Drosophila melanogaster: one gene and its partner. The protein of the gene in region 2 interacts with the protein of the main gene of each other region in a pairwise test. Each region holds a gene or a part of one and is shown on either strand. Other genes may lie near its edges.

What was found.
Region 1: the proteins of Oatp74D (region 2) and cmb interact in a two-hybrid assay, tested with the Drosophila melanogaster proteins (one large-scale study listed by BioGRID).

Annotation. Positions count from the first base shown.
Region 1 is NT_037436.4:13,440,797-13,448,604, reverse strand, and holds the start of cmb (combover), read right to left. Parts: upstream 6,012-7,808; 5' UTR 5,887-6,011; coding exon 5,617-5,886; intron 5,487-5,616; exon of another isoform or gene 5,306-5,486; coding exon 5,149-5,305; intron 4,917-5,148; coding exon 4,519-4,916; intron 4,393-4,518; coding exon 4,300-4,392; intron 4,238-4,299; coding exon 2,707-4,237; intron 2,597-2,706; coding exon of another isoform or gene 2,594-2,596; coding exon 2,325-2,593; intron 2,264-2,324; coding exon 1,722-2,263; coding exon of another isoform or gene 1,718-1,721; exon of another isoform or gene 1,644-1,717; intron 1,332-1,643; coding exon 221-1,331; intron 163-220; coding exon 1-162. Other genes in the region: CG14109 (uncharacterized protein), read right to left, coding at 6,301-6,978, 7,326-7,379.
Region 2 is NT_037436.4:17,485,061-17,490,157, reverse strand, and holds the start of Oatp74D (organic anion transporting polypeptide 74D), read right to left. Parts: upstream 3,041-5,097; 5' UTR 2,969-3,040; exon of another isoform or gene 2,958-2,968; intron 2,525-2,957; exon of another isoform or gene 2,094-2,524; 5' UTR 1,826-2,093; intron 1-1,825. UniProt on the Drosophila melanogaster protein: Transporter that mediates the cellular uptake of ecdysteroids, including ecdysone, from the hemolymph.

The DNA of each region.
Region 1 (7,808 bases), 4.0 Mb from region 2:
CTCTGCCAGTAGGGAGTCATTGATGACGGTGTTGTTGTGCGTCTGATTGCGAATGCGTTTGATAATGTACTCGATTAGTTCGTGATCCGGTGCCAGTTCTATGCTGGTCCCTGGTCCTGATCCCGAGCCAGAGGCTTGTTCTAGTTTTCCCTCGAGGATTTGCTGGTAAGGAAGACGCAATTATGAGTTAATCGATCCAGTTTACGAAAGCCTTTCTTACCTCTTCGTTCTCGGTCCTAAGAGAAGAGATAACAGCAGAAGCACTGTCCTCCATTTCATCCAGGTGCTGCCCGTTCTGTGGATTGGACAAACTTAGCTGCTTCACTGGCGTTCCTTTTTCGTCCTCGGGCCGATCGTTGTCTAGCTGCAGACGCATTACCTCTAGCGGGGTTTCACTGCGACTCTCGGTGGCCTCGGCGTCGCCAGTAGGTTCGTTCTCCTCCTGGTTAAGAGCCTTTCGCAAGCCGTGTGGTTCATGTGAGTGCTGCAGCTGCTGATTTTGTTGCTGTTGTTGTTGCTGCTGCTGCTGCTGCTGCTCGAAGAGTGTCTCCAGCCGGCGGTAGACATCCTCCTTGATTGATTCATAAAACTTTGTGGTGAACTTGTCGTTCTTCAGAGCGTTAACCAGCAGATTTCGATTCAGTTCCTCGGAGGCCGTTTCCTCGGTTTGCTCCATGGCATTTGATTCGTCCGCGGGCGATGCTTCTTGTCCGAGCGTAGGAGTAGTGTCCACTGGAGTAATCTGGGGTAGCTCGATGTAGTCCATGTAGTGAGCTGGAAGTTCGAAGTCGAAACGAAGATGTCGCTGCTGCAGAGGAGTAAGCGACACAGTCGAAGTGGTGGGCTTTGCTGGTACCTTGTTCCGCTGATACAGCGGACTGTTGCCATAGTTTACGTTCATGTTGAGATTGGAGGAGCTAGCCTGCTCGGACTCATCATCCCGCAGCGTGGAAAGCTGAGGACGGCGACGATTGCGACGTCGACCCGAGCCGAATATGACGTTATCATGGTTCTCCTCCACCTCGTCCACATCCTCATCGTCGTGGTCGCGAATGTGGCCTGCATCATCGCGCCAGTCCCTTTTTCTGCCCGAACTGCCGCTGTTGTTGAGATTATTGCTGCCATTGGAGCTGCTGCCATGCAAAGCGGTTAGTGGCGCCTCGAAAAAGTGACGACGCTGCTGCTGGTGGGTCAAACCACCACGCGTAGTAGGCGGAAGCAACTGGGGCGGCTGAAAGTAGCTGGGACGTGCCCGTTGTCGCCGATACTGCTGGAGGTCCACGTTCAGCTCCTCGTTGCTTTTATTTGATAAGAGATTTTGGCGCGAATGGCTGGAAGAGCGTACAGATATTAATGGGTTAATGCAAGCGGGTAGCAAAGAATCATGCAGTTGATAAACTAGCTAAATCTAGTGAGCGTTACTAAGTTAAGTTTTTCTATTCCATATATCCTTTTTAAATTGAATACACATCTTTTATAAATTAGCTTTGTTTACTGCCGAATAGGCACTTGCAAAACTTGGTCAGTACTTGGAGTTAGTCTTGGTTAGTCACTTTCAACTCTGTTAATGGGACACTTATCTGCAACGCGTGGTCGCACTTACCGGTGCACAGAATTGAAAATTAACTCTTCACAATAGTTTTATTTAATTTTTATTGCTTTTGACCCTTTTCCATCAAACAACCATTAATAAATCCAACACCAAAGTTATAAAGCATTACCTGCGGAAGTTGTCCCAGTAGTTGTTGGCTCTGTTTCCGGGTGGTACTTGATTGTTCAATGTAATACCGCCACCAGGTGCTCCTCCACCAGCTGCTCCCTCGGGCAGCGAGTGCAGATTGTTGGCATGCTGGTTCTGGGTTCGCAGATTCGAGTTGTTCTGATGTATCGTGTTGTTATGGTGGTTCATGAAGATGGGACCTGGACTTGAGCGGTAAGTAGGCGGCGACAGGGGTGTCTCGTTGTTGAAGTGCGTCGGCGGTGGCGGGGGAGCAGCATTGTTAAGGAACGGCTGCGCCTGATGCTGCTGCTGTTGATGATGATGCGATTCTGCCCCGCTACGATGACAGCTGCGCTGATAGTTACTAAAGGCGCTCTGGTGGGCACCAAAGTTAAATAGCTGCTCAGATTGAGCTCGACTGCTGCCCAGGCACAGATTGTTGGGCATCTGACCCATTCCAGGGCCCACCGGAGGCGGTACTGATTCCGAGCGCAAGCCGAAGCTGTGATCCTGGCATGCTACAACATTAAATCGATCCTGGAGCTGTGAAAAAACACTTGAATTAGTCTTTGATTAGGCTCTCTAATCTCATGGATTGTCTTACCGCATGTAGCTGGTGGTTGAGGTTGTCGATTTCGCGCTGTTGATGCCACAGTGCCTGGTTGCACTGGCACACAGAGTTGATAAGCATTTGCTGCGTCTGCATGAACTGCTGCAGCAGAACTGCGTCGGTAGAGGCATTCGATCCGGATCCATTTGAGGAGCCCCCTTGTTGGGCGGCTGGCAGCTTTTTAAACTCTGTGCCGGCACTGGAGCTCGGCTGACCGTAGACGGGCTGCTGTCCATGCCACGAACTTCCAGAGTTGTGTGATGCTGCTAGCGGATGCATAAAAATAAGCGTAAAACGAGGAAACTAATACATGAATTCAAGTTGGTAAAGTAAAGTTGGTAAATTTCCGCCTTTGTTGGTGGAATTAAAAACGTACCCCACATTCCAGGCACTGGTTGCATGGGGGGCGGCATGTACTGCGATCTATTGCTGCTGGATGGTATGCTGTCATTACCCAGGGATAGCGTATCAAGTGTCACATTCAGGTCATCTTCGTTTAGCGTCGACGGAGGAGCAGGCGGCGGTGGTGGTGGTGCCTGCTGTGGGGGAACGTTAGGTTGCTGACCTCGTCGTTGCTCCACCACTGTGTTGGCGGATGGAGCCCTCTTTAGGGTCGCTGAGGAAGCGGTACGTACGTTGGCGAAGTACTTATCGCTGTCAGTGTCGTCGTTTGCCTCGTCATCCGCCTCCGATGTGGTGTTGTTACTGGCTACGTAACGCTGCTCCAGTTCCCGCTGCTTCTGCTCGTATTCCGTTCGCAGGCGCTCGCACTGCGAGCGCAGTTCATCGCGCAGTTGTTCCTTGGTGGGCGTAGCCTGAAGAGAATTATCCACTTCGGATGGATCCTCTTCCTCGGTCATCCGCTGTCTCATGGGGGTGGGTGTTGGGGTAAGACTGCTTCTTTTAAGTGCATCATCGCCCATTTGAACAGCGGCGGCCGCCTGTTGTTTGCGTCGCTCAATCTCTGCCTTCAGGGCTAGGATACGGTCACGCTCCTTTTGCAAGCTTGCTGCTTCCGCTCTCAGTTCGCTCGTAACATCGTTCAGAGCGAATACGCGCTGGGCAATCTCGGCCGGCAATTCGCGCTCCACGCTAGTTCTTTCCTCACTACGCCGCTCTAAGGTGGAGCCCATGCTGGGAGTACTTTCTTCAATCTGGCTAACAGTGTACAGCATTCCCTTTAGTCTCGCCATCTGAGCCTTGAGTGCTTCTATATCTGCCGTCTTCTGGTTGATCATTGCCTGTGCGTGAAGTGCCCGTTGAGCAGCGTTGGCCGCCTCCTGGCGTATGATGGGTACGTTTCTCTGATACTCCACAGGAACAACACGCTCCTTGGGAGCCGCTGGGGCAGCCTCCTCTGGCTTGGGAGGAGGCGTGGGAGTCTCCTCTTTCTCTTTGATGACTCTAGCAGTCTCCCTGGCCGCACGGTTGATGCTGTTTAGTTCGTCCACCAGATTGCGCATATCCTCACGTTGGGTGCGCAGTGATTCCAGTTTCTCCTGCAGGGCTTCCTGCTCGGCCAGGATCTCGGGCCCATCATCGCCAAGCACCGTGCTCAGTTCGTTCTGGTTGTGTATAAAGGCGGTGAGATTCTTCATGCGCCCCACCAGCGACGCCATGTCGTCCTGTACCTGCTGCACGGACTCGTATTTGGGGGCCTCTCCCCCATTGACATTGTGGGGTAAGCTATCGGCTTGCTGGCGCAGCCGCTCCATCTCGTTAAGGTGAGTCTTGGCCAAATTTTGGATTTGTAACAGCTTCGCCTGTTCGTCGTGCAGGTGCTGCATGTTCCTATTGGAGGCTTCCAAGCGCTGCTGCAACTCATCGAAGCTGGGCGTGGTATCGGGCGTGGGCGTTTCCAAGACGCTGTGTAGGGACTGAATGGATTGGGCGCGGTTGTCGCTCATCTGAAAGGTACAAATGGTTTGAGTACTAGAAGGCAGACTTTTGGTTTTATTAACCAACTAACCTCGCTTAATGCAACATCCTCCAAGCTGGTCGAATTGACTACGCCTTCACCCTGATCCGAATTTGGGTTGATTTCGTGCACCATGTTGTTCGTCTGGGGCAAGAATTAAAGGATTTAGTTTCATTTATTATTACGATATAAAAAATGTTATTATCAATCTTATAAATGTTATAAATGTACGGCTCACTTGAAGTTCCTGACACAAGCTTTCAAACTCACCTCTACAACTTTCCTACTCGGTTGATATCTGCTATTCAGGTTCTCGTCTAATCCTAGCAGGGCGCGTAACACGTCAACCTGCGAGCGAAAACCTTCGGTTCTGGGAGCAAAATGGTGTACACCAAGAAGTCGGTGAACGAGTTGTTGCAGTCCAGCGGGGGTCAGTGGCGGTGCCTGCTCCTCGTTGCCACTCAAATTGCCGTTTCCGTTGCTGGTAGTTGCGTTCGGTATGACCACACCTACTGTGGCATTCGGAGGCGTCGATTGACGCAAACGCAGCAAAGCCGTCGAAGATGAGGGGGCGCCTGTGCTATTAGCTGACGAGGATGGCTGGTGCTGAACCCTCTGGACAGGACGGACGGGGAATCGATAGCGCTGCTGCTGTTCCTGCAGTTGCTCTGTAATGGAAAATAGCCAAAGATCAGTATGGATGTTTAGGTCCATTGCTAAATACTGCGCTGCGAACTACATCATCTCAGTGGGCGTTTATTTTCGTGCGCATCTTATTTATAGAACATGAACTGGCGCACCGATCTCTGTGTGGGCCAGGCCGATCACTTTGCCAGGTGCGGATATTGGAAATTGCTCAATTAAATGTGTATATTCCTCAACGGTTTCAGGACCCATTACCTGCTGTATCGTAGTTGCCGTGTTCGGCGGCCAACTGACGCAGTGCCTCGCGCTGCTGTTGCTGTTGTGCAGGCGACCTGTGATCCTTGCTAGACAGATGCTGCTCCGCCGGCGATCGATTCTTGGCGTTGGTGATGCGTGCTCGCTGGAGGAGATCCTTTAAGCAACAGTAAATGAAGATTAGCAGGAAAACCAGCACGAGGATTGCGGTAATTTTGCTGATTTTAGGTCTATATATATATATCTATTTCAGATATATATATATATATGTATAAGGGCGCTGCTCTGGCCGATCGAAATTCGTTGTCCGCAGTGGTTGAGTTCGCATTCGCTACTGAGCCAGCGGCTAACGAATTTCCGCAGGTCGCGATGAGTGTAAAGTGTATTTATAAAACCAAGAAGAGAAAGGTCTTGGTGTCTTCTCTTCGAGAAGATTTGCCATGGCAACCAGACGTCCGTCTAACTTACATTCAGAGTTTTCAGCGTCTCCCGCTGCAGCGTCTCTGGCTCGACAAGTTCCATGTCCGGTTCGCCCAGGTGCTCCTGCTGCCGGCGAGAGCGGGCCGACCGGCTGGATGTCACAGATGCACTCGACCCGGACGTGGGTGCTCCGTTTACAGGCGTTTGTTGTTTAGGCACCGCACCGGTTGCCCCGCCCACCGAGTTGTTGTTGCTGCTGCCATTGCTGCGGGCGCTGGCGTTGGCTTGGTCCACAACTACCTTGGGCGGCGGCGCCATTAGAAAATATATATATATATATTTGCGTACAAAAAACGACGCTACAAAATTGAAAAAACTCCTCTTTTTTGTACTCCCACTTTGTTTTTTTGCTTTGCGCACTCTGACAGCTGTTCCCAACCAGGGCTGGAAGCTAGTTAACAAGCCTACCAAGTTATGGTCACACTGGCAGCGGACGTTTTTTGAAATCGAATGTTTTCTAAAATTCAAAAATAAATATTATTTTTAGTTTAAAATAAAATGTATATCTGTAAAAAGTATTTTAAATGCTTTTGGTGTAGATAAACTAACGTTACTTGGTAATTTGATATCTTTTAAGGATAATTATTTATTTGGAGATTACTTTATAATATGTTCCTTGGATAATAAACATTATATGACTAGAGCCATTTTCCCTTTCAAGTTTGGACGTGCCTACTTTCCCTGCTTGCGCTGGATGATGTCCTCCTTGAGCGCACGAATCCGATCCCTCTCCGCCCGGAGTCCCACCGCTTGACCGCGTAGATCACTGGTGAAGTCCGTGAACATGTTAAGCATGGAATTCAGGAGCTCGGCGTTATCGGGAGCACTCGACGAGGTCGATGGATTCTCTTCTTGGGCACTCTCTACGGCCTCGCTGGCCACTCGGACTTCTGACGAGGTGGTCTGCCTGCTGGTCTGAACGGAGGTGGAGCTCTGGACCTGTACCGTTTGCCTGGAGGACATGTGCTCCTCGATCATCTTGGTGGTGTCCACCATGTTCTGCACGCGCTTAAACTGCGCCTTCAGGTTGGCGATCTCGTTTAGCTTCTCCTGCAGATAACTGGCCTGCTCCTCTTTGTCCTCCCCGCCCTCTTCCTCACCAGATGGTGCCTCTTCCCGGTTTGTGAACTCTCCAGAAGCACTGGCGGATGAAGCAACTGTTACTGTCTCCGATGAGGATTCAACGTGGGACTGAACCTCCTCCTCCTCGGTGGACTGCCGCACTTGTCGGCGCTGGGCATTCAGAAGGGTCAGCTCAGCGGCTCGTAAGCGCAGTGTCTCCATCTCCTCAAGCAACTGGCGGTGCTCCTCCTGCATCTCTTGCAGCTGTCTGTTGGAAGCAGCTAGGCGCTTAAAAAATACAAATAATTAGTTTTGAAAGCTTCAATAATGAAAAAATTGGTTTAAAAACATCATAGTTCAAAGACTACATTAGGGCATCAAAAGAAAAATGATTTTGTATATTATTATTAAAAAACTCTATTTTTTAGCTCACTGGTATAGAAAAAGCTTCGTACTTAAATTTCATTTCAACTGAAACATCTAGAGACTGTAGGCTTATTGGTGTGACTCATTCATTTTGTTGTCTAAAAAGAATGTGTCACGGTATTTATTTAACTTTACTGACTGTGTTTTCTTATTGTTTTAAAACACTTAAATACTAAGAGTTTTGCAATTTCCCGAAGACTCCAGCTTACCTCGCTCAAGGCGGCATTGTCCCCATTTTGAGGCCTATTCAGTTCGTTGACCATTTTCTGGGTTCCTGAGGAGAAGAGGGAATACTTGGTGTTATGTATATCGTGCACGTTGATTATTTTCTCAATACAAACAAAGGCCCATCGCAAGGCACTGTCTATAAATAAATGGCTCTTTGTTAAATTATTTTTCAGTTAGAATAGTGTCAGTCATCTTGGCATTTTTGAAGACAAAACTAACAAGTGCACTTATGAAAATGTACACCACAATACACCACATATATTATACTTGAAAATGCTACCTTTTAATCGTATATTCGAATCCTCCGAGCGATGAGCTGTGCGCACAAAGAGATGCCCAAATTTCAACTGAAACGATGTGCCGAAAACGAAAATATTTTGAATCGTTTTCGTGTTCGTGTAGAGTTTTTAGAAACAGCCGACAAGCTTTTCCACATTAATATGAAAGTCTACAAAGGAAACTTT
Region 2 (5,097 bases):
AATGAGTTTGGCTGAAATCGAAATGCTTTGGGCCATTGATCATTTATTGGTCGGCGGAGGCGATGAAGTTAAAAGGAAACAATGGAAAAATATGGGAATGGCGAGGTAGACAAAGTTAGCTCCGAAACTTTGGTTATGGGAAACACCATAAATGGGTATTTTAACCATTTAAATGAAAATTTCTGTTAATCTAATGTTTACACAATCATTAGCTTTAAGTTTAGCTGTTGCACTATATACGTATTATTGTAGTATATTTTATATACAAACCTATTAATTAAACATATTTTTTAGGTAAACCAAACATAGAAGTCAAAAATGAAATGGAAGAAGCCACAATGAAGTGAATTAATTTATTTCAAATTGTAGCACTCATTTGACTTTCTCTATGAACCTGAGCAAAATAATGTAACTTCATGAATTTTTAATTTTGCTGCGAAAAAAATAACTTCAATTCGAGAAAGAATAAAGTGATTTCTCTGTCACTTTCAGATGCGTTTCCTGCTGTGTGTTAACGTCGTTTTAAGTGTTTAATTTTGAAATCCAAAAAATAAACGGCTCTGTAAATGTGTACGTATTCAATGCGATCAAGCAAATATATATAAATGGATAATAAAAATCGGTGATAACGAACCCGATGTGGGTCAGACGGAAAAGAGTGTTTCTTGCTGGTTTCTGGCCAGAACAAACACTCATATGATTGAGGTACAAAAGTGAAACTCTGACGCTCTGAAAGTCGGTAATTCTGAGTCGATAGTTGCGGTGCGGTATAAACATTTACATTTGATTAAACAGCGTTTATTGACTGTTTTCGTTTTTGCTTTTGTTCGGCCTTAATGCATTTCGCCGATATTCGGCTTTCGTTTTGCGAGGACACAAAAAGAATGCGGGAAAAAAGCCCATCCGAACCCAACCCATCCCAACCCGGTATCTGTATCTGCATCTGTGCATCTTTATCTGTGCGTATTTATTTTGGTTTTACGGCATGTATGTAATTACCCGGGAACCGAGTAAAGCAGGCAGAAAAGACAGAGAAATGGAGTGTGTTTCGTATTCTTTGGCCGGTCTCTTCTCCGTCGCGCGTCTTATCATTATTTCCGAGTGTGTATTGTGCGCTTTCTGATTGCTCTGCCCCCTTTTAACCTTCGTATTTAAGAAATTTCTTAGCCCATTACGATTTCACTCAATACGGCGTATGATTTTTGTAGGCCTTCCAACAAAAAATTACATGTTTCACTTTCTCTGGCGCCCGAATAGTCCCCCCCTTCGAAAACAGAAAAATAACAAGAACCGCGTCGAAGAACCAAAAGATAAATGCTTAGACATCGTCTGCCCCTCTCTATTTTGTTTCGAAATATCTTTTCGGGGTTTCTGTTTTTGTTTTCCCCACATCAATCAGAGAATGCTTCGTTCTTTCCATTTCTCTTGTGGGCAAGCATTGAAAAGGGAAATTTCTTTAGCCCAATTAAATGAAAAGAAACCAAATCAGGTTATTCCATGAATTTTGAGCTTATTTCTGGTTCTGCATGTTTGTTTGGCACTGATCGTTCTCTTTGAAATTTTATTTCGCCACAAGACTTAAATGCATTATACAAAAATTGTTTTTGGGAAATACACATTTTCAAATAAACAAATTCTATATATATGCAAGTTGAAGTAATTGTTAATTGGGGTTCTAAGTAATATTCACTTAAGCAAAGCTCTTATACTCTTATACTCTATTATTGACAAACCTAAATTGCCATCCAACTCTAAGTTCTTAAGTTGTCACAAAAAGTTGTCATTTTATGAACATATACAATTTATTTATTAAAGCTGTACTTACGCTTATCGCTCCTGTTTCGCTTTCTGGTTTTGTTGAATTTTTTCATTCAGAATTTGCTACGCAATTTACGCGTTTAATTTGTTGCTGCCTCTGTTCGCCGCACTCGTTTTTCTGTTATTTCACACACAATTTTTTTTATTTAATTGCACACATAATGAACAATATTAAATGCTATATTCGTATGTTTGTGCGTTGAAGACACGCACTCAGCCAATTGAAAATTGTATTTGCGGTTGGGTTTCAATACAACAAATTTATCAAGCACTCACTGAAAATGGAATTGGCACTTTAATTTTTTGTTAAAATGGTCTGAGGATCTTAACAATGATGTATTTATTGATTAAGTGTGGTTTTAATGAACTTCAAAAACGAGATTATTTAATATGTTATTAGTTTTATTCGTTTTCGTACAAGTTTCTTTAGGTTTTTGATCAGACAAATTTGTCAACCAGTTTTTTTTTTTTTAATATTTTTATAGTGTGCGAAAATATTTGTATTGAGCGTTTAGAAATTTAATAATTTTTTTCTGTGACTTGCACGACGAAAATGTGTGGATTCAACTGGGTTCTTGGACACAGGTATCTTTCAGGGAATATTGGAGGTATTGGGAACCGAAAACGAAACCGATTCGGAGCGGAGCGGAACCGAAAAGTCGAGCGACGCGTGCACTTACAGCGACGTCTGAGCAGCAAAAACTCGAGAATAACCAAAGTGCGGCTCAATTTATACGAGGAGTCGAAAAACACAGACCAGAAGATACATTTACAGATGCAGATACAGATACGCGTTCTCTTTGTGTTAGTGTATCTCAAAGATACTTCTAACCGTCACTCTCTTACGCTCTCTCTTCGCTGTGGGGGTGGTCTGTCTCCGCTGTTATCGTTATTGCCGCTCTCTCTGCGCGCTCTGTGTGTTTTGGTTATAAAAGTGTAGTAGATTTTTGGCATTTATCTGTTTTTGTTTTATTTGCATATGTTCAATATGCACGACCCACATTGTTGTTGGTGTTGTTGTTGTTGTCTGATCGCGGCGTATAGAAATAATACGTATACACATGTGTATATATACACCGAATGTACATATTATCTCTCTCGCCCCCCACTCGCACTCACACACACACACTCTCACGCACCGCACACATACAGTTGCACCGCCTGAGTTCCGCTGCCCGTCGGCACAGTCCGCACACGGTAACAATTCGAATACGAATACGCAAAACGGTCTGGCGAACTGAAAACAGCCAAAACTTTTCGCCTGCGCCGACGTCGACGTCGGCAGCGCAGCTGTTTGGAGCTGTTGGGGCTCTGTTAGGCCCCCACGCTGTTAGGGCTCTGTTAGTTCGGCTGCTCTCTCTGTTTGTTATCAGTGGCGTGCGCTCTTTTATCAAATTGGAAAGGGGATTTTGGAGATCAGACAGATCGACCTGGGTTAAACTTTCAGCATACCGGAATATTAGAATACATTACGTTTATAAGGGAATAATTGAAGTGGTTTTGATAGAAGTACCAATTCTTTCATAGAAAGACCTTTATTTTGATTGAAATTCGACAAGTTTGACTTTCTCTTAGCTTGGCTTAGTGTTTTTTAACTTACGAATCACATGTAGTACACAATATTTATTGTTGCATATGTACAATAAAATACATTTTCTGCAAATGACTCAACCAAGATTTTTCGTCTGGGTGGGGTGGGTAATATAAAAAAGTGAAGAGAAGTGATGGATATTCTAAGTCTATGATTCGATTGATTAATTTCTTATTATGAGCTATACATTATTTTCACTAAGGCATGAGGAACAGCTTAAAGCCTGAAAGTTTTGCATTTCAAAGAAAAGTGTTTATGATGAGGAATTTTGGTGGTTTAATGTTCGTTACATTAATGCTCGTTACATTTTAGTTAGTTCCAGCGAAGTACTAAAAAGGAATACTTTTTGCAAAACGTGCTAAATAGTTTCTATAAGTTGCTTTGTGTGTTTACCAAGTGATTTTTGCGATTAAGGGTTATCTCTTAGGTTATGCATCTGCTGTCTGTCGGTGCAACTGACTTTACAATATAGTCTACAGTCTTGGAGGCTAATGGAATTCAGTTTGCGAAATTCCTCGAGTAACTCTCTGGTCGCCTATTAATATTCATATGTGCAAAGTACGTATCAATTGCATATTCGGCGCAAGGTCGTCTGCCAAGCGGCCAGATAGATAGGCAAACTGTCAGATACGCGTACTCATGCAAAGTCTGTGCGCAATAATCAAGCAAATTGAGTGCAACGCAGGCGATGGCGCAGCCGTATCTATTGGCTACTCTTTTGGCAAACTCCCATCGATATCGGCTCGATTCGCAGCTAGACGGCTAATTACGTGACATGTTAGACGCGAAAACAAGTTAAACACGCTCGTTCGATTTGTGTAATTAATTGCAGGCCGAGACGAGCGAGAGCTCAAAAACAAATTCACCTCGAAATGTGCATTGAACTTTTGCGGTTGCTTTTCTCGCCGCCGCCGGATGAATGTTGTTTTCCCTTTTCGGTGGCTCGCTTTTTTTGTAACCAATTCTAGTTGCAATCCGCTGCTGATAACCCGCAGATGAACCCATGGGTGTTGGAGCTTCCACATTGAAGGGGGTTACGCATTCTGAGTGGGCTTGTTGGTGGGTGGGATGGGGCACGAGCAGCTGATGCAGCTGATGTGTGTGTGTCAATGTTTCAGCTTGTAAACAAACGGCAAGCAAATAATGACAAAGTCGACAACGAAACTCCAAAAGTGTTCCTTATTGTTTGTTGTATTGACTACATCGCTGGGCTTATCGCTAACCGTTGTCAGATGGAATAAACATTCACATTTATATGTGTTGCACACAATGTGGTGTGGTATGTATGTGCAGTGGGGCTTCCTTATGACGAACTTGTATATTACATATATTCCTATAAATATTAGGTATTTTTATTGCTAATAAAATAAAAAGTAGAAAAAGCAAAAGCTTGCCATACAATTACTTTTACTAATTCTTATTTCTTTAAGCGATTTCCCTAATTGTTGTTAATTTTTAATGAGCTTGATATTTTACTACTGAAAGGGGAATTGGATGGGGAAATGTTCTTATTTAATCTTGACTGAAAGCAGGAAGCACGCTTATGAATTGGATGAGTTTGAAGCGAATAGAACGGATCAAAAGTCGGAGCTGGCCTATAATGTGTGTCAGTGGTGATAAGCAAATGCGGGGGGTGGGAAAACTATTGTATAAGATCTGAACGGAGTCACTCGATTCTACTCCTCGAT